2 linked regions of the Lytechinus pictus genome follow. The protein of the gene in region 1 interacts with the protein of each later gene in a pairwise test. Links are inferred from orthologs where the notes say so. Each region holds a gene or a part of one and is shown on either strand. Other genes may lie near its edges.

Evidence for each region.
Region 2: the proteins of heterogeneous nuclear ribonucleoprotein U-like protein 1 (region 1) and protein arginine N-methyltransferase 2-like interact in a two-hybrid assay, tested with the Homo sapiens proteins (2 studies listed by BioGRID and IntAct). The link is inferred for Lytechinus pictus from reciprocal best matches to the Homo sapiens genes HNRNPUL1 and PRMT2.

The regions. Positions count from the first base shown.
Region 1 is NC_087251.1:23,711,333-23,722,185, reverse strand, and holds the start of heterogeneous nuclear ribonucleoprotein U-like protein 1, read left to right. Parts: upstream 1-6,799; 5' UTR 6,800-7,024; coding exon 7,025-7,337; intron 7,338-8,086; coding exon 8,087-8,347; intron 8,348-8,506; coding exon 8,507-8,612; intron 8,613-10,618; coding exon 10,619-10,686; intron 10,687-10,853.
Region 2 is NC_087245.1:21,604,576-21,614,510, reverse strand, and holds the start of protein arginine N-methyltransferase 2-like, read left to right. Parts: upstream 1-5,754; 5' UTR 5,755-5,799; coding exon 5,800-5,967; intron 5,968-9,935. UniProt on the Homo sapiens protein: Arginine methyltransferase that methylates the guanidino nitrogens of arginyl residues in proteins such as STAT3, FBL, histone H4. Acts as a coactivator (with NCOA2) of the androgen receptor (AR)-mediated transactivation.

The sequences.
Region 1 (10,853 bases):
AAAAATGAACAAATCAGAACAGGTGTGTACGCCGTTCAGGGCCCTGTGAAAGATTTTTTAATACTGGGTTGTTGTTTGTTGGAAATTAATGGCGACCAGTCACTGGGGTACAATTGCTGGAGTTTTGTCGTCAGAAAGAATTCCGACAAGCCACCCCCCCCAACAAAAAAGGGGGGGGTTATTGTTTACAAATCTCCCTCATTATTTTGGGGAGTAATAACCATTTATTATTATTATTAATATTTGTTTTGCCTATTTGTCAACCCGGTCTGGGAGGTGCTGTATACACTGTAAAAACGCTGTTTAAAATTTTAAGCAAGTTGTTTAAGCCTGTCACTCTAACAACTACCGTTTAAACTTTTTAAACAGCTGTTGAAACTTTTTAAACAAGTTGTTTAAAGAGTAAATTACAGAAAAGTTTATACAACCTGTTGTTAGAGTGACAGGCTTAAACAACGTGCTATTTTTTTTTACTGTGTATGGTATATGCATGCAGCATCCCTCCCCGTCCGATCCCCGCTACCATCCAGCAGTGGCGGTTTATTGCCATATACTGCCAAATGGTCTAATGTCATTTCGTCTACCATCAGTTGGTCCACTATCCATTACCATTTCGTCCATTTACCATTTAGTCCAATAGCCAGTTGGTCTAATAACCATTTCGTCTATTATCGATTGGTCTAATAGCCATTTGGTCTATTGCATTTTTGCCAATTGGCCCAATAGCCACTTTGTCCATTTTTATTACGTCTATTACCATTTAGTCCAATAATAATAATAATAATACTAATATGTCCATTTATATAGCGCAGTTACTATGTGCATATACTCAACTGCGCTTTGATACTTGGTATAATATTATGATAACTAAGCCGCCATATTAATAGGCGATAAAGCGTTCAAGGAATAAATCCTGCCGGGTACCCATTCACCTCACCTGGGTCGAGTGCAGCACAATGTGGATGAATTTCTTGCCGAAGGAAATTACGCCATGGCTGGGATTCGAACCCACGACCCTCTGTTTCAAAGTCCGAAGACTAATCCACTTTTATAGGCCACAACGCTCCACGATAGCCAACTGGTCTAAAGGCAAATGGTCTAATCCACTTAGTCTACTTTTATTTCATCTATTCCCAGTGGCGTAACTACGGGGGGGCATGGGGAGCACGTGCCCCCCCCCCCCCAATCGGCTGGCCAAAAAAAAAAAAACGGGGAAAAGGAGAAAAAGAGGGAGAAAGGGAAAGAAACGTAGTGGGAAAGAAGAAATTATTGTTAATTATAATGGTATATTATATTATGATTATCTTATGTTATATTACATAAATAAATTATAACTTTATGAAACATAATTTGCACAGGGCCTAGTCTTCATTTTTCCTGGTGCTCGCATTGCCTGTTTAACAATATATATAATCTTCTTGTACTAAAACCTCCCGTTTTCAAGTCAATATACACCAAATATATTTTCTTAGACTTCGAATTATTATTGTTTTATGTAGTGACATATACTTTTTTTTTCATGACTACTTAAAGTGATTGCCCGATTTTAAGGTCTTAATATAAACCATTTCCTGTCCGTACTTACGTTCGCATTCGTGGATTGGTGAGATATGTCTGTTCTTCATGAATTTTCTAAAATCAGTCCTTAAAATGTCCCTTTTTCTGATCTGAATGTAAAAAATTTCAGCTTGCGCTTCGCGCTCGCATCATTTGGTTAGTGAAATACGCATGGTCTACGTGAATTCTAACAAAATCAGCATTCGCTTGGCACTCGCATTAGATGACTATGGTGAGATATCTGTACTCTTAATGGAATCCTTTAAAAAAATAAATAGTCCTTATCCCTCTTTTGGGTCAATATATACAAAAATTTCAGCTCGCGCTTCGCGTTCGCATCATTTGGTTAGTGAACTACATATGATCTACGTGAATTCCTACAAACAAGCCTTGAAATATCCCTCTTCAGGTCTGACTTTCCTAAATTTTCAGCTCGCGCTTCGCGCTCGCAATATTTGATTAGTGAGATGCGTATGTTAATTATGATTACAATGACTACAAGTGCTTCATGTGTTTAGATGTATATTATTCTAACAATATCAGCAAGCGCTTTGTACTCGCATTAGATGACTATGGTGAGATATGTATACTCTTAATTAATGCATTCCTAAAATATTGTCCTTAAAATGTCCGTTTGGGGTCAATATATACAAAAATTTCAGCTCGCGCTTCGCGCTCGCATTATGTGATCAGTGAGATACATATCCGTTTAATGACACTGTCCTTTAAATGTCCCTATTATGTCAGTATACCTAGCAACTGAGCGAGCTTCGCGCGCTCTATAAGTGACTCATAATTTTTGCTGGTGCCCCCCCCCCCAATGCCGTGACCCACGGTACGCCACTGTCTATTCCATTTGGTCTAACTGCAGTTGGTCCTCTGTCACTTAGTCTAAACCCATTTCGTCTAACAATCATTTCTAATTGCCATTTAATTGCCATTTGGTCTAATCACCAATAGGTCCAATTGCCATCTCGGCCAATCATCATTTCGTCATATATTTTCGTCATTCTACTATAGCAGCCCTACGTGTTCGGTACATGTGCTGACTCGACTCATGTTGCTGTTGTGTGATTTATTATTAATTTACACCTGTTGTTTGCTTAATCTGTTATAAAATTGTAATTGACGTATCTAGCGGGGGGGGGGGGGGGGGCAAGGGGGCACGTGCCCCGGGCACCATTTTCAGGGGGCGCAAATAAAGAAAAGGAAAACAAAAAATGAAGAGAAAAAGAAAAGGAATAAATTAAGGCGCAGAAAAGGAAAACCACTGAAGGTGATTAATACCCCCGTCCCATGCTATTACCATGGTAATGCAGTTTCCAACACATTTAGAAAATCAATCTTGCATGTCTTTACCCAGGGATGAATTCGTGCCAACTTTTGATTAGTGATATATATACTCTCTTCAAGAATTCCAATACTCCTTACAAAAAAATTCCTTTTCAAACGCAAATGTCATAACTTTTCATCTAGTCTATTTGCGGGTTTGCATTTTGTTACATTATTCTTCATTTTATTCTTACAAACAGTTCTGAAAAACACATTTTCTGATTCAATTGTCAAAGCGTTTCACCACGTGCTGATTTGACTAAAAGGGAGATACAAATCCTCTTCATTAAGTTTACAAACATTCATTAAAACGACCTTCGACCCTTTTTAGGTGAGGACATAAATAAATAAATAAATAAATAAATATATACATATATATATATATATATAATCACAAATGGTTTAGAAAATGCCGTAGAAATAAAATCGTAGATTTTAAAAGGAGCATAGCTCTCAAAAATGAAAGGTAAAGTCACACTCTTCGTCAGTGCCCATGATGTGACAAAAAAAAAAGCGAATTCAAAATCCGTTTCTGAAACAGTCGTGAAAAACACGTCTGTTCATGGGCATACGGATTGTGAAACTCACCACAAAGAAATCAATGCGCTGAAGATATATATATTACGCCGATCAGATATTATACTTCTCATGAATTCCTACAAATTTCAGCTTACCCATCCTGCTTGCATTATATAATTGCTTAGTTATCGTGAGATTATTTCTCCCTAAAATGTCCCGACTGCCGGTCTCGATATCAATCATATTCAGCTCGCGCTCGCATTACTTGTTTAGCATGTTTAGATATGCATCATGTTAATGATTACAAAATAGGCTCGCGCTTCGCCCTCGTATTAGGTCGATTTATTTACAGAGATATACCTATCATCTCTTTTCTAAAAAGGGTCTTTTTACATGTTCCCTTTTCAGGTCTGAATATCAATATTTTTCAGCTCGTGCTTAGCGCTCGCATTCATTGTTTACGATAATTAGATACACACAATTTTCATGAAAATAAAAAAACTTATAATATTCCGTCTTGATATTGAAAAAATATTCACTCTCGCACTGACCGGTCGAGTGTATAATACACTCAAGAGGCGCGATTTTAGCGCTTGCCCCGGGCGCCGTTTGTCCTAGATACGCCACTGATAATACTGTGCAGTATTTTAAACTCCATTATAATAATGTTCTTACGCAAGATGAACAGGCAATGCCAGGGAGCACCGACCTAGCGAAAAATGTATGATATGGAAGAATTTATATTTTCCAGGTCTTCCCCTCACGTTTCATTCACTTGTCTTCCTCCTCTTATTTTATTTTATATTATACCTATTCCCTTTTCTTCCCCTCCGCTTGCCCACTTTTCTCTCCTCTTTTTTTTTCTTTCATTTTTTGTGCCGCTGTTTTTTTTGGTATTAAAATGATGTTTTATTGGTCACTTCAAGGTACATTCAATTCAATAGAGTTGAACAAGTACAAATGATACATCATAAGAAATTACATAACAGTTACGTAGCATATAAGTGCATATGGATAACCACTGTATCAATTCATGTCTCGCCATCTGCGTTCGTGGACACTCCTTTTGTTATTTCGAATAGCTGTAAATGTTTCCATTTTATACGATCGATCTAGTTAACAAATAAACACAATCACAGAAACTGTTGGTGTACATGATTTTCATCTAAGATAAATAGATTTCTTTGCAATAACTAGAAAAGGATGAAAAAGAGAATATTTTTTGATAACGCACCCATTACACTTTTTCCGTTCAAAATGAAAAATCTGTAAATGGACAATTCCAAAATGAATGTTCGATCGTTTCATTTTCTGCATTACCTTACAGAAGAAACATAAGTCTAAACGTATTTACTGGACGCTCATATCTTTCTGCCACCAATATATCATAAAAATGTTTACTTTTTTTTAATTTGTTTATTTACGTGATCAGTGGCGTACCGTGGGTCACGGCATTGGGGGGGCACGAGCAAAAATTTTGAGTCACTTAGTGAGCGCAGCGCGCCCAGTTGCCAGGTATACTGACCTAATAGAGACATTTTAAGGACAGTGCCATTAAACGGATATGTATCTCACTGGTCAAATAATGCGAGCGCGAAGCGCGAGCTTAAAATTTTTGATATTCAGACCTAAAAAAGGACATTATAAAATTCTTTTGTAATCATGATACGTACCTGTCTCGCTAAATAATGCGAGCGTGAAGCGCGAGCTGAAATTTTTGTAAATATTGACCCCAAACGGGAAGATTTTAAGGACTATATTTTAGGAATCCGTTAAGAGTATACACATCTCACCATAGTCATCTAATGCGAGTGCCAATAAGCGCTTGCTGATTTTGTTAGAATTACATCTAAACATATGCACATAAAGCACTTGTAATCATGATTAACATACCCATCTCACTAATCAAATCTTGCGAGCGCGAAGCGCGAGCTGAAAATTTAGGAAATTCAGACCTGAAGAGGGGCATTTTAAGGCTTGTTTGTAGGAATTCACGAAGACCATACGTAGTTCACTAACCAAACGGTGCGAGCGCGAAGCGCGAGGTGAAATTTTTTGATATTCAGATCAGAAAAAGGAACATTTTAAGGACTGATTCTAGGAATTCATTGAGAGCAGACATATTTCACCAATCCGCTACTGCTAACGTAAGCACGGACAGGAAATGTTTTATATTAAGACCTTAAAATGGGGCAATCACTTTAGTCATGAAAAAGAAGCATACTTGTACATAAAACAATAACTCGAAGTGCGAGGAAATATATTTGGCAGTTTGGTATATATTGACTTGAAAACGGGAGGTTTTTTATCAGGGTTATATATCTCGGTAAACAGACAATGCGAGCTTCAGGAGCAATGAAAACATAGGCCCTGAGCAAATTATGTTTCATTAAGTTATGAAAAATGTTTCTTATGTAATATAACATAACATATTATTATGAAATAATATAACATTATAATGAACAATAATGTCTTTTTTCCCACTATACGTTTCTCTTTCTTTCTCCCTCTTTTTCTCCTTTTCCCCGTTTTTTTTTTTTTTTTTTTTTTTTTTTGGTCAGCCGATTGGGGGGCACGTGCCCCCCCATGCCCCCCCGTAGTTACGCCACTGTACGTGATAGAAAAGAGAGTGAAAGAAGAATTAAAACTTATAGAAATACATAAAAATTCATAAAAACGAAAGCGGAAGGAGAAAACAAAATATACATATGAGAATTGATAGAAGCATTGATGGAAATATTAAAACAAGGATATATATTTAAAGAGAGAGAGAGAGATAAAAATAGAATCAGAAAAATACATAGGAGTTGTTGGAAAACTATAAAAAGGAAAAGATGAGGAAAAAATAGAATAATGTTTCAGAATTTATTGAGCACGCGTTTTTTCCCTTCACTGATATGTCCATATAGAGATCAGGGGCCGCGGGACGGTTAAAAAAAAATCACAATCATATTTTTTTACGTTTTGGGGGGATGAAGAAAAAATAGAATAATGTTTCAAAATTCATTGAGCACGCGTTTTTTCCCGCCCCGCTTCCACGGCCTCTGCATTTACTTATCCTGGTATGATTCGCTCATTCTTCGCTTGCTAGCTCCGATCCAGATCCCAGAATTCAACGCGGCGACATAATAAAGAGTGGGTCATCACGCCACGCCATATGATATAGAGTGGGTTTTCGTAAAACGACCGCTGATTGGATGCTTTCAATTCGATACTGTGCTGTGATAAATCAAATAAAAATGTTTGTTAGAGTATAAAATGATATTTAAATGATCTAATAACAACTTGTAACAATAAAATCATTCAATAAAGTGATATTTATGAAATTTTATGAATCAAAACAATTTTTCAGAAAAATGATTCAATAAATAAATAAATCAGATATCCAATCAGATGACATTTCTTTAGTACAGTTCATCAGGCGTTACGTGTGCATGCGTTCTCGACAGAACTCTGCGTTTGTGTGCAAGGACTCCGTTCTAGGAGTATGGTGCTGCCAACCTTTTACTTTGAATTAAATTAATTTAGTCGTCATAGGTTTAGAATTTATTATATTATAGTTCTGTTATTTAACCTGCATACATAGAGTCTGTTAAGAGAAATCAAAGGTGACAAAATGAGTGAGATTGAACCATCCAAGTTGAAGGTCGCGGAGCTTCGCGCGGAACTGCAAGCGCGTGGACTCGATTCAAAGGGAGTGAAAGCTGTCCTTGTTGATCGACTTGAGAATGCTTTGCTTGCCGAAGCCGAGGAAGTGGGGAATGAGAACGAACCCGCGGAAGCAGACGAAGATGACAATTTTGACGAAGATGTTGTAGAACTAGCACAAGAAGCACTACCAGAAGCAGAGCAAGGATTTGGCGATGAGTTTGGATTTTCAGGGGATCAGGATGGAACCAGCCAAGAAGCAGATGATCTCTTGCAAGCAGGTTCGTGAATTCGGCCAGCCCAAAAAAGCCAAGGCATGCATGGCCAAGAAAAGTCTTGTCCATCATAGGCCATCTTCACTCCAATTTATGAATTAGGCCTATCCAAGACTAAGTAAAATAAAGTGAAGTTGAACTTGAAGTTCCCATTATTAATTACATTCCCATTAATTACATTAAATAATTCCCATTAAATTCATTCGGATATTTGGCTTGCAACGATGCATGCAATGCATGATGCATGTTATGAAATAAATAATGGAGTATAATTCTAGGCCAGAGTAGCCAGGCGGCTTCTTGAGAGTAAAAATCATTTACTAACGTAGGCTTACTCTCAGTCTCAATGAAGCCAGGTCTTCTCATTCACCTACACGAAGGACCCCAAAACCTGAAACTTTCATCCCCGAGATTTCTACTTCTAAAATATCTAGGCCTAAAAGGTTAGCCCTAAATCATGTAGGGCCTACATGGGATAAAACTTCATTTCCGACATTTCTACGCTCTCGTTATTTTTAAACAAGAATTCATCAAAAAAATGAGAAAAATATTGTGAAAATCTTGTTTCCTATTGTTCTTCGCCAATGTTACGCAACGCACGCGACCGTAACGTTGGCGAAGAACAATAGGAAACAAGATGGCGGCGTAAACATCTGGCAAGCAGAAGGTGTAAAAAGTTGAAGGGGCCCATCATACCAGTGCAAAAAACCTTTAATCACTTTGTATTTTGACCAGAACATTTTCTCTCATTTCAGGTGAAGAGGGTGGAGATGACCAACTCTTGGCAGACTTGGAAATTCCTCCAGCTATGGAGGAACCGGAAGCAGAAGTCCAGCCAGAACCACAAGAAGAAGCTATGGTGCAAGAGGAGGATGCCATGCCTCAAGTTACAGAAGCTGAACCAGAAGCAACGGATGAGCAGGGGCAAGTTGAACAGCCACCAGAAAGCATGGAGCAAGAAGCCCAACCACAAACAGAAGAGAAGGAAGGTGAAAATAAAGAGCAGTCTGGGGATGGTAAGGAAAATACACGCTCTGAGAATAGCATGTTTCCCATTTTCCTTTTCTATGACAAAAAAAGTGTATTCAAGATTTCTATTTTCTTACACATTTGCAATTGTGTTTGTGTCAAGTGTAATAAAGTACCATAAATGTTTGAATTTTTGTAATTTATAGGGGACAAGAAAGAAGAAGGTGACAAGGATAAAGAAAGGAAACGCGACTATGAGAACAGGAACCGTGATCGCCGATTTGGAGGCAGAGATAGATCTCCCAGGAGAAGGTGGGTGCGAGTAATAAAGACTTGTAAACAAGTTACTTAACATGTCCTGTGATGATTCTTACACTGCCAGTTCTGCTTCTGATTGAGCACTCAAATTTATGAAGAAACTGAACTAGTGTTACTTTCTGAGGCATTATACTGTTACACATTTGTAATTTTTTCAGTGGATTTTCATTTTTGCCATAGGGCATTGTTTTATTTTTTACATTTTCATTATCATTACAAGAAAGATATACAACACACCAATTTGAGCATGTGGGACAAAGTCACATACTTTGGATGGTGTTACATCCTCAGATGGGGGGGGGGGGGGGGTTGAGGACAATCAAAATTAAATTTTGTTTCTGTAAATGAAGTTTGCTGTGAAAGAAAAACATCTGGTTCTTTCAAGTTCTATTTACAAATATAAATAAAATCTTACTGTGTTTCATCCCAGTTAAATTTATGGTAACAAAATATGTATATTTATATATTTTTTGTGTTGTACCCACCCCCCAAACAAAGAAGTTTGACATTGGATGGTTAGATGTGGGATTCCAAGATGGCCTCTTGCATGAAAAATTTACTTTTAAGTGCAGATTTGGCTGATTTTTATCTTTATTTGGGTATTTTAAATTGTTCAACTGTAAAAAAAAAAAGGAGGGGGGGGGGGGATATCAACAGTTCAATTGGTTCTGCTTGTACTTGACAAGGATGTACATAAAACCATCCAAAAAGTGTGGCTTTGTACCCACATGCTCAAATGGGTGTATTGTGCCTGAGAAGTAGACTTGAACAAAAATGCAATCTTCCATCTTTTTCGAAAGAAATTTGATGTGATACTCTTTCTCTTAAATTACCATTCTAATTACAATGAATTTAGAAAAAACTTTAACTTACAGGTTTTAATTGATTTTGTTTTTCTTTTGATGAACATGTAATTCGGCCTTAGTTTGGCATCATACATAGTTCCCTAATCATTTACAGTCCTTCACGTTTATAATTTCATGGAGCTCAATAAATCGCTCTCCTTATTTTTCTGAGGAGCTCAATTGAGCTCCTCAGAATCGCTCTCCGTGAGGAGCTCAAATCAATTCATTACAATACATGTATGATAAATTGTAGATTTTTCTTAACATTGTATATATGCAGTAGCTGTGTTAGCTATTAATTAATCTGTGGTGAAACTAGGCCTGGGTCACGTCAATACGTTTACAAGATGTCGTATGCGCTACTGCAAAAAAAAAATTGAAAAAAAAAAAAAATTGAAAAAAAAAATTGCTAAAATTTTACATTTTACATCTTTAAATCCATGAAATGGCCTTCTTTTTTCCATAATACCTTGAAATTACTTTGATTTAGTTGAAAACTATCAGAAAAATGAAGAATATTCACCTCTTTCCCGACTCTGATTTGAACTTACCTCAGTAAATATTGTAGTCCCACATGTAGACTTTCATGGTGCTGCCATGAAAATCTACATATGGGACTGCAAATATTTACCGAGTTTAAATTAAAATCAGAGTCGGGAAAGAGATGAATATTCTTAATTTTTCTGATAGTTTTCAACTAAATCAAAGTAATTTCAAGGAATTATGGAAAAAAGAAGACCATTTCATAGATTTAAAGATGTGAAATTTTAGCAATTTTTTTTCTTCATTAAAAAAATTTTTTTTTTAGGAGCGCGATTTTTTGCTATCCTTATTTTTTTTAAGGAGCGCGGTAGGAGCGCCGGCGCGATCGCGCTCCTCAAAAATGAAGGTCTGCATTTCAGAATCATTTGTTGAAAATTTTGGTAACTGCTTTTGCTCGATTTCAGACGAGTACCAGCTTGCTTAATCCACAATGTTATGGAATGGGGAATTCCCCATTCAATGCAGGAAGTGAAAATGCATGAATTTCAAAGCAGGAAGCAAGTTTAGCGTATGTGTACCAATGTCTAAAAATGATTTGTGTTATGAGTTCACAAAGATACTGCATTTAGTGTAATATACAATTGCAACCAACTTTATCCTTCTTACCTTCAGAACACCCCCTCCTGTGGTTATGGAAGAAGATGATGATATACCAGATACACAGTGTGTGCTCAGCAAATGTAAGTTCATTGGGATTTGGATGACTGCTAAATACATGTACCGTATGTATCCTATGGAATGTGAAATCTAAGTTTTGCTTCTGATTTATTCCATGCATTCATGGGAATAGGTGAAGTGTTATTGTTCTTCCACCTTTTGTAGGTGGTTACCAGGGGCATTTTTTCAG
Region 2 (9,935 bases), on another chromosome or scaffold:
CATTATTTTAACTAATCAATAATAAATGCCATTTTGATTTATTTTTAGACGTGCTACAATTTGTGCAGTTGTAGCGAAACGGGAACCGAAAATAAGTACCAAATCACTGTAGTGTATTATTCCATTCCAATTGTAATACTTGAAAACGTTAATGAAATGCACTCTGCGATAATGGATGGGGTGCAGAAACAACTAAATATAATCTATGTATATTGATGGGTACCAAAACAAATGATCATGAGCACTGACCATTCCATGAAATTCGTGATATTCTATTTTACTTTCTTTATCATTTTTATATTCATATTTCACGATATGTCCCTAAGCCATTGACATCATCCATGAAAGTGTAGGCCTATATCTGGGAAATGTTGACCGAGCCAAACACGGAATTGTATTTTTGTTTATCGTCTTTGGTCAAATAGATTTTACATCTTTGTATTCGAAATCTCTAACAATAGTCATACAAAATACTAATTCATAAAAAATGTAAATTTAGTTATGGTTATAAGTCAACCGCGTAGCCAGGATTTCATTTTGGAGGGGGCGGTAAATGCACGCAAAGCGTGCCAACACTTACAGAGCGCGCGCCCTAGGGGGTGGGTGCAGGGAGGGGGAGTTTCCCCCTCCCGCGCGAAGCGCGAAGCTTTTGGTGTTTCATAAATTAAAATGAAAAGGAGCCGTCTCTCTTGTCTCTAGTACCTATATATCAGCTCCAATTCAGTTGACTATATTGTGATTTTGAACCTTGTTTTAAAACAAGATTGTGAACGCACAAAAAAGGAATACAATGGAGGAAATGAAAATGATAATAACCCCGCGCGAAGCACGGAAACTAAAGCGTTTTATTAATTTTTTTTGAATGAAAATGGTCCCGAGAAAAGGGTATTCTCAAACACATATTGAATACTTCCCTTGGAAAGATCAGATTTGATTACAAACAATTTAGCGACAGTGAATATCTTTAACTCGCAAAACAGAGGAGAAGAAGTGTATATGCCGGGAGGAAGATATTCCTCCCCGCGCAGAACAACGAAACTCTGAAATTTCAAAGGGCGGACGTTTCATCAAATGCGGATATCTCCAATACCCCATCGGCTCTAATTCAATTAATTTTCTAAGATTATTGAACTTCATTACAAGGAAAATAGTGCGCAAAAAGTTGAAACTTCTGTGATTTATTGAAATTATATAAAAAGGATACTTAATTTCTTTGACTTATCCTGAAGCGCTTCATTTTGAATTATAAAGAAACTTTAGTGTCATTCAAAATTTCAAACTGAGGGCGCAAAACAGGACAGGAGATGAATGTGCAGGGAAATGACATGAAGTTTAATAGAATTTGATAAAAAATATTGTACTTTTTTATTTAATACGATACGAATTTTATACCTTCCTCTTTTTAAATTAGGAACCTGTTTGCCCCAAAACTTATGGTTGTTTAGTAATGAGCTGAAAAGCGGGAGAAGTTGACTTCATGGAGGTGACGGCAGAAATTGATATAAAGATTTCACCCGCCCGGAGCCGACCCGACCAGAAGTTGCGCGATCAATTAAAAAAAAAGATAACTTCATATACTTCGGCCTATTAAACCTTACTCTAATTCCATGCCCTAATGTATGCATTTGAACTTTAACTGGCAAGAAACACATATAGCTGAGGTGGAAAAACAGGGTTAGAGAAAGGGTGGGGAGAACAATGGAGATCTTCAATATTGTCATTTAACCACGCGCAGCGCGGAAGCAAAATTCATATATAAATCTAAAGCAAGAGTGAAGGAGTTTCTCTTTTGAGAAAAAAAAAAAAAAAAAAAAAAAAAAAAAAGCTACCTTTCTTCCCTTTCCTCCCTTCCCTTTTCCTTTTCTCCTCTCTTTTTTCCCTTCTCTTTTTTTTCTTTTTGGGGACGTTTTTTTTTGGGGACGACCGCCCCCACCGCCCCCCCCTGGCTACGCGCCTGTTATAAATCAGGATGGAAAACAAAATGGATGAGGACAGGCTTAATATTTGTTTGTTGGATGCACGGATCGTGAATGATACGTTTTGCAGTTTCTATCGAAATCTACATGTTTTATAGAATTATTATCTTCATGATCCATAATCAAATTATTTCAGAGGGTCCCGAGGAAGACATATTAATTATGTATGGTTAATCTTAAGCGGGTGAATCCTATGAGTTAATATTTTCTTGATGTATGATAATTCAATATGGTCATAAAGTTCCTTCATTAGTCCATCTGTGGATTGTCGGTATTTGCAACCATCCATCTTTTAATTGGATATTTGTCTACGTAAAGTGAACAAGTTTTTTTGTATTATTAATTTTTGATAGGCCTATTCACTTATAACTGAATATAAAATCACAATCAGGGGCCTGTAACACAAAGATTAGCAATGAATTTGCTACGATCGATTGCATTGACTACAATGTAGCCTACAATCAATCGTGAAAATCAAGCGTACGATTAATCGCTAACCTTTGTGTATAACGGGACTTAGATCATGGAGCCATTGCGCAGATGGACATTTTACGGTAGGCATATATAGGCAGCGCCTAAAGGCCACCGCACACCTTAAGCCCCTTTCACAATTGACGTACGACCTGTTTACGACCACCTGCAACAGTTTTTTCTTGTTGTTGCACGATCGATCTCTTGGTGTCTTGCGAGCACTCGCAGTGGTTGTAGACGGTCGCACGAACTCGAGGTGGTCGTGACTGGTCACATCTGAACTTTGAACATGTTCAAAATCCGAACGCGATCAAATACGACCGATTCACTCGCATCAGCTCGTATCCGGGGTCGTACCATCGGTCGGGCGATCATCGTGGGAGTGTTGTTCAACGTTGCACGACTTGGTGCGAGAGGTGGCACAACTAAGTAGTCGCATTTACTCGACTGGAGGTCGTACAACACTTGCACATGTGCTAGCGACCTACATGTACAGAGACCTGTCTTGCGACTGGGTGCGATAATATGATGGCCATAAGACTGTTGCAAGACCGATCGCAACGGCTTACAACATTGCACTACCGTTGTGTGCGACCGTTCCCCTCGCAATCCCTCGTGCAACACTCGCATGTGATCGCACGAGCACAATAGGATCATAAGCGACTTACTCGTGCAACGGGTTTTACTGATTGTTTTTGTTGTACGACAGCTGTTGCAACTGTGAAAGCCTCTGTGCGATATTATGAGATGACTGGCGATTGATGCCTGTTGCAGCCTGTCGCACGACCAAAAGGTCGCAAGTGGTCGTACGTCAATTGTGAAAGGGGCTTTACGACTGTTCGCGATCCGATTTTGGAACAAATCGCATTTTGCTCATTTTCTGAAAATGTGAATGGAACATATCATTTTATTTGAGGTTAAAATTAATTAAAAGAATACTGATATAACCATTTTGAAAGATTGCAAGCCTTTATTTTGGAGTGAAGGCCAAATTAGTTTCAAATCGTAGCCAATCGTACGACTGCTATTACGTCATTACGACTAGATATTAAATTCGCTTTTATTCTAAGAACTAAGAAGGATGATAGCATAGTCACAGAATTGAACATAGGTATTCGTATGATGATTTAGAACATTACGCAGTAAGATATTTCAAGTCTCAATATTAGCATCAAATTCTACTACATTTTATTCTGAAATCGGGTCGCAGATCAATCGTAAGGTGTGCGGTCGCCTTAAAGTTTGACGTCCACTGAGAGAAAATGGGGTGGTTAAGCTGCAGAGAAATGTGATCCGTGATGCATCTCTATCTATATACTTCTTTTGCTGATGGCCATGATGCGATCAATGATCCCGGTTTCACAATGGTGTTAATGATGATGAGGTGATCCCAGGCGCGTAGCCAGGGGGGCGGTGGGGGCGGTCGCCCCCCAAAAAAAAACGTCCCCAAAAAGAAAAAAGAAGGGAAAAAAGAGAGGAGAAAAGGAAAAGGGAAGGGAGGAAAGGTAGCTTTGTGTTTGTTTTTTCTTCTTATTCTTTTTTTTTCTCAAAAGAGAAACTCCTTTTCTCTTGCTCTAAATTTATATATGAATTTTGCTTCCGCGCTGCGCGCGGTTAAATGACAATATTGAAGTTCTCCATTGTTTCCCCCACCCTTTCTCTAACCCTGTTTTTCCACCTCAGCTATATGTGTTTCTTGCCAGTTAAAGTTCAAATGTATATATTAGGGCATGGAATTAAGAGTTAGGTTGGGCCGAAGTATATGAAGTTATCTTTTTTTTTTAATTGATCGCGCAACTTCTGGTCGGGTTGGCTCCGGGCGGGTAAAATCTTTATATCAATTTCTGCCGTCACCTCCATAAAGTCAACTTCTCCTGCTTTTCAGCTCATTACTAAACAACCATAATTTTGGGGCAAACAGGTTCCTAATTTAAAAAGAGGAAGGTATAAAATTCGTGTCGTATTAAATAAAAAGGTACAATATTTTTTATCAAATTCTATTAAACTTCATGTCATTTCCCTGCACATTCATCTGTCCTGTTTTGCGCCCTCAGTTTGAAATTTTGAATGACACTTAAGTTTCTTTATAATTCAAAATCAAGCGCTTCCGGATAAGTCAAAGAAATTAGGCCTCCTTTCTCGTATAATTACAATAAATCACAGAAGTTTCAACTTTTTGCGCACTATTTTCCTTGTAATGAAGTTCAATAGTCTTAGAAAATCAATTGAATTAGAGCCGATGTGGTATTAGATATATATGCATTTGATGAAACGTCCGCCCTTTTTTTTTGAAATTTCAGAGTTTCATTGCTCTGCGCGGGGAGGAATATCTTCCTCACGGCATATACACTTCTTCTCCTCTGTTTTGCGAGTTAATGATATGCACTGTCGCTAAATTGTTTGTAATCAAATCTGATCTTTCCAAGGGAAGTATTCAATATATCTTTGAGAATACCCTTTTCTCGGGACCCTTTTCATGGCAAAAAAATTGATAAAACGCTTTAGCTTCCGCGCTTCGCGCAGGGTAATTATTATTTTAATTTCCTCCATTGTATTCCTTTTTTGTGCGTTCACAATCACTTTTAAAAACAAGGTTCATGAAAACAAGGTTAAAAATCACAATATAGTCAACTGAATTGGAGCTAATATAGGTACTAGAGACAAGAGAGACGGCTCCTTTTCATTTCGATATATGAAACACCAAAAGCCCTCCCTGCACCCACCCCCTAAGGAGCACTTCGCGCGCTCTGTAAGTGTTGGTTGGCACGCTTCGCTTGCATTTACCGCCCCCTCAAAAATGAAATCCTGGCTACGCGGTTGGGTGATCCATAATCTGATGATCATGCAGGGTGATGTTGATGGTGATGATGACGGAGAAAATGAGATGATGATGATGATGATGATGGTTATGGTGATGGTGATGATGATGACGATGATGATGATGATGGTGGTGATGATGATGATGATGATGAAGGTGATGATGATGATGGTGATGATGGTAGTGGTGGTGGTGGTGGTGGTGGTGGTGGTGGTGGTGTATATGGGGTGATATTTGATGATGCATTATGGTGGTGGTGATGATGCTGCTGATGATGATGATCGATGATAATGTTGATGATGATGGTGGTGGTTGTCAGGATGAAGTTTGATAATTTCTTTACCTATTCCTCCTCTACTACTATATTGGTTTTGTTCAGAAGCGGCGATAGTAGAGTAGATTTGAATTTGACCCCATTTGATTCCATTGGGGCGTGCTGCCTTTGTTGTAGACGGCCGATGGTCGGTCGCGTCGGTATTATGGGGCCGCACCGAGGTCGATTAGTAGTCGAGAGCGAGACGACATCCCAATGCCATGAAAATGGGGGATAGATCGGATGGAAATTCAACATCATTTACAACTTGCAATGGAAATGAAAATCAAAGTGGAGATTGCAGTCACATAAATGATGGGGATGAAGAGGATTATGAGCTAGAAATCGTAACCGCTGTCGCAGATTTCTGTGCAATTGACGATAGCCAGGTATGAGTGCAATTCCTTTCTGTAGTCCCACGTGAAGAAATTAATGTTCTATCTATCTTGATTATGGTTAGATTCGTAAGTCATGATTTATCATTTTGTGTTATTATTCGTTTGGCATGATGTGAGCCCGGGGGGGGGGGGGCAGTCAAATGTATTGCTGTACACATGCGTGACCAAATTATTTCCAAACACCCCCTAAACAAGTTTTTTTTCTCCGTGTGCAAAATATCAGACTACCAGACAAGGGTCCCTCACCGTACACACCAATTGAAGATCTCTTCATCAGCTTACGAGGAGTGAATAAACAACTGAAAGAACTTAACACCAACAAAGCCAGTGGTCCAGATGAAATACCTGCTAGAATGTTAAGAGACTATGCAGATGAGATTAGCCCAGTCCTTACTCATCTCTTCCAACAATCCTATGATGAGGGAATTCTTCCAAGTGATTGGCTAAGAGCTCAAGTGGCCAGCATCTACAAGTCTGGCGACAAGAGTAACCCAGCCAACTATAGACCGGTGTCACTCACGTGCATCTGCTGCAAGATCCAAGAGCACATTGTATTGAGCCACATGTCAAAATACTTGGAAAAGAATAACATCATCAACCCAAACCAACATGGATTTAGGAAGGGACTGTCATGCGAAACGCAACTTGTTGAGGCCATCAATGACTGGGCATACAACATCGACCAGCAATGTCAGACAGACGCCTTCTTTCTTGACTTTAGTAAGGCCTTTGATAAGGTATCACACAGGAAGCTGCTCTACAAATTGGAGTATTATGGCATTACTGGTCAAATGCATGGATGGATCAAAGCTTTTCTATCAGGCAGATCTCAGTCAGTTCATGTTGATGGAACATCCTCACCACGAGCCAGTGTACTCTCAGGCGTGCCGCAAGGCTCAGTACTCGGGCCTGTGTTATTCCTGCTGTACATCAATGACATCTGTGAATGCATCTCATCACCAATCAGACTCTTTGCTGATGACTGTGTGCTGTATCGCAAGGTCAAGACAAGAGCTGACCACGCAATTCTCCAGCGAGATCTTTCAACATTATCAGATTGGGCAAAACTGTGGGATATGTCCTTCAATGTCAAGAAGTGTGCCCACATGTGTATCTCATTGAAACGACAACCCTTGGCTTGCAACTTTACCATCAGTGACCAACCTGTTCCAACGGCAACCTCCTGTAAATACCTCGGTGTGACCATCACAGACAACCTGAGTTGGAACTCCCATGCACAGAAGATATCCTCCAAAGCTGCTCGTACTCTTGGAATCATACGTCGAGCATTGGGTAAATGTGACCTGAAAGTGAGAGACATTGCGTACAAGCAACTTGTCAGACCTCAACTTGAGTATGCTTCATGTGCATGGAATCCTCACATACAGAAAGATGTAAACATTATTGAGAACATTCAACGTCAGGGTGCTCGGTTTGTCCTTCATGACTATAGCAGAGAATCCAGTGTAACATCGATGTTGTCAACTCTTCACTGGGATACTCTCCAACACAGACGCCTTCTTAGCCAATGTGAGATGTTCTACAAAATTCATCACAATTATGTTTACATCAACATGCCACATCAGATTAAGTTAAGCAGCAGTTCTCGTCCACAACGTTCACAACACACTGGACATCAGCTCAAGTACACCCAGCCTTTTTGTAGAGTGAACTGCTACATGTACAGTATGTTCCCAAGAACCATCCGTATTTGGAATACTCTCCCAAACGCTGCTGTAACTTCGACCTCTATAGCTGGCTTCCGGGGAGCAACATTGCCTATCATTCAGCAAATGTTGCCTCCCCCTCCCCTTAAGATGCTGTAAGAGGGACACACACGCACCACCCGCACACTGCACCTAGCACACTGTATATAGTGCACCAAGAATACCACCACAGGATCACCACATCACCTGAAGCACTGGCAGCACCTGACACAGCACAACCCTCTCCAGGACAGCGTGTACGCTTTTGGGAGAGTACTTCTTCAAGATTCAAGATCCCCTAACAAAAGACTAGAGTAGAGTCTAACGTTAGACTAAACAAGTTTTTCGCGGGCTTTATTTACACCGATTTACACATTGGCCCCTAAATAGGGTGTCTGACATGTCTGAAGCCACACTGAAAACTGTCAGCATAAAACAGGCTGATTTAGGGGAAAATATGGCACATTTTTTCGGAAATTCAGGCTGCTACTAGTGCTAGAAAAATGTGATCTGAATTGATTATTAACTTGTGAGTTGTGTTTGGCATGTATGGAAAGAGAAAAGTCAGGGGCTTCTTTTGACAGTAAGGACAATTTTATAGGATTATTTGAAATAAGGATTTAGAGATAAATTGCAAACCCTTATTTGTGTGTTGAGATTGGCATTTCCCCATGTGTTTTCTGTGGGAAAATGAAATTTCTGTTTTGCACAATTTTTTTCACTTTGTCGCAATTTTTTATTGTGATCTTTTTTCCAAATCTTTATAAAAATCATACCATTAGAAAGAACATAAAAAATCTTATTGAACTATTTATGGACAAGTTTTTGGCATTAATAATAAATTAATAACAGCTCTCGGCCTCAGAAGCTAAAAATTTGGATTTGTGTGTGTCCATTTCTTAACTACACAGTCCATGGCAGAGAAGTGCTGAAAATTGACCTAATTTCATTCTTCTTTTTTGCAGCCAATAATTGGATTTTTCTTTAAAATGTTACATTTCTGTCAGTCTGAAGGTTATTTCTCTTCAAATTCACAAAGAAAATGTCATATTTTCATGAAATAAGAAAAAAAAAAAAAATCTCCAGAAACCCTACCCTAAACAAGTTGTCACCAGAATATGACCCCAGGGAAAAAGCTTGGGGTAAAAGCACAATTCACCCTTTTGATGGGTGAAAAGGGGCGCAATAATAAAGAGAAAATAATAGTTAGTGCATATACTATAATCGCTTTACAACTTTTCTGAAATATATGCTGGAAAATACTGAATTATTATGACAAACATTGAGGATCAGGTTCTTCTTTGATCATTCACCATCAATACCGCTGAGCGTACAAAAGCACCAGCCAAAAACGTCTGTGTTACCATTTTCAGTTCATGAACTGAAAAAAAATAGGAATTTCTGTGTGATGCTCTGGAACAGAAATTTAGGCTGAAAATTTAGGTTTTGACTGCAGCACATACGTATCATACATTTATACAAAGTACCCCCCCCCCCCCGGTCACGTACGTGCAGTCGCCGCTGGCTAACGTCAGCTTAATGGACGACGCCATACTGCCAGATTTGGCCCGCGCCCTCACCGGCTAACGCTCGAACGCCATTCATCCATACACTAATTCCTTTTGATTACCGTTGATAAAAACCTCGTTCAAATCTTTTCCAGAATTCTTATGAATTAGCGATGGATGTTTTTCCGTTAATCAAATATCCTTTATTATACCAATATTTTTTTTATATTTATAACATTTTTATTTTAATCACAATTTCAGTCCAAACGCGGGTCTGTTTTTGTGAACCCACGTTGTTTGTGCATGCCCACGTATGGCCTTACGCGTATTGAAAGGAATGATGTTGGGTCGAAAAACAGAATTGTTGTTATTGTTTGTTCCGTGTTTGTTGGGGATGAAACTATGATGGCGACCAGTCACGTTTGACTGTACCGCCAGATAGTTAAGATTAATTAATTAAGGTCAAGGTGAGATAAGAGAAATGAGCAAGGGGCTTTGTGGTGGGGGGGGGAGGGAGAGAGAGAGAGAGGGGGGGGGAGTTAAGAGGGCCGAGTGGGGATACAGTTTCATCATGCAGTACAGGGCGTCGATGAACACCTTAATTTTTTTCTCCAAAATATGGAAAGTGACAGAATAATCAGAAAAAGGTTGATTGGTTCTGATTTTGAAAAAAACAAAAAAACAATTCAAACAGAATTAATCAAGATTGCTGTTATTCTTCATGGTTGTAGAATTTAATTTAGTT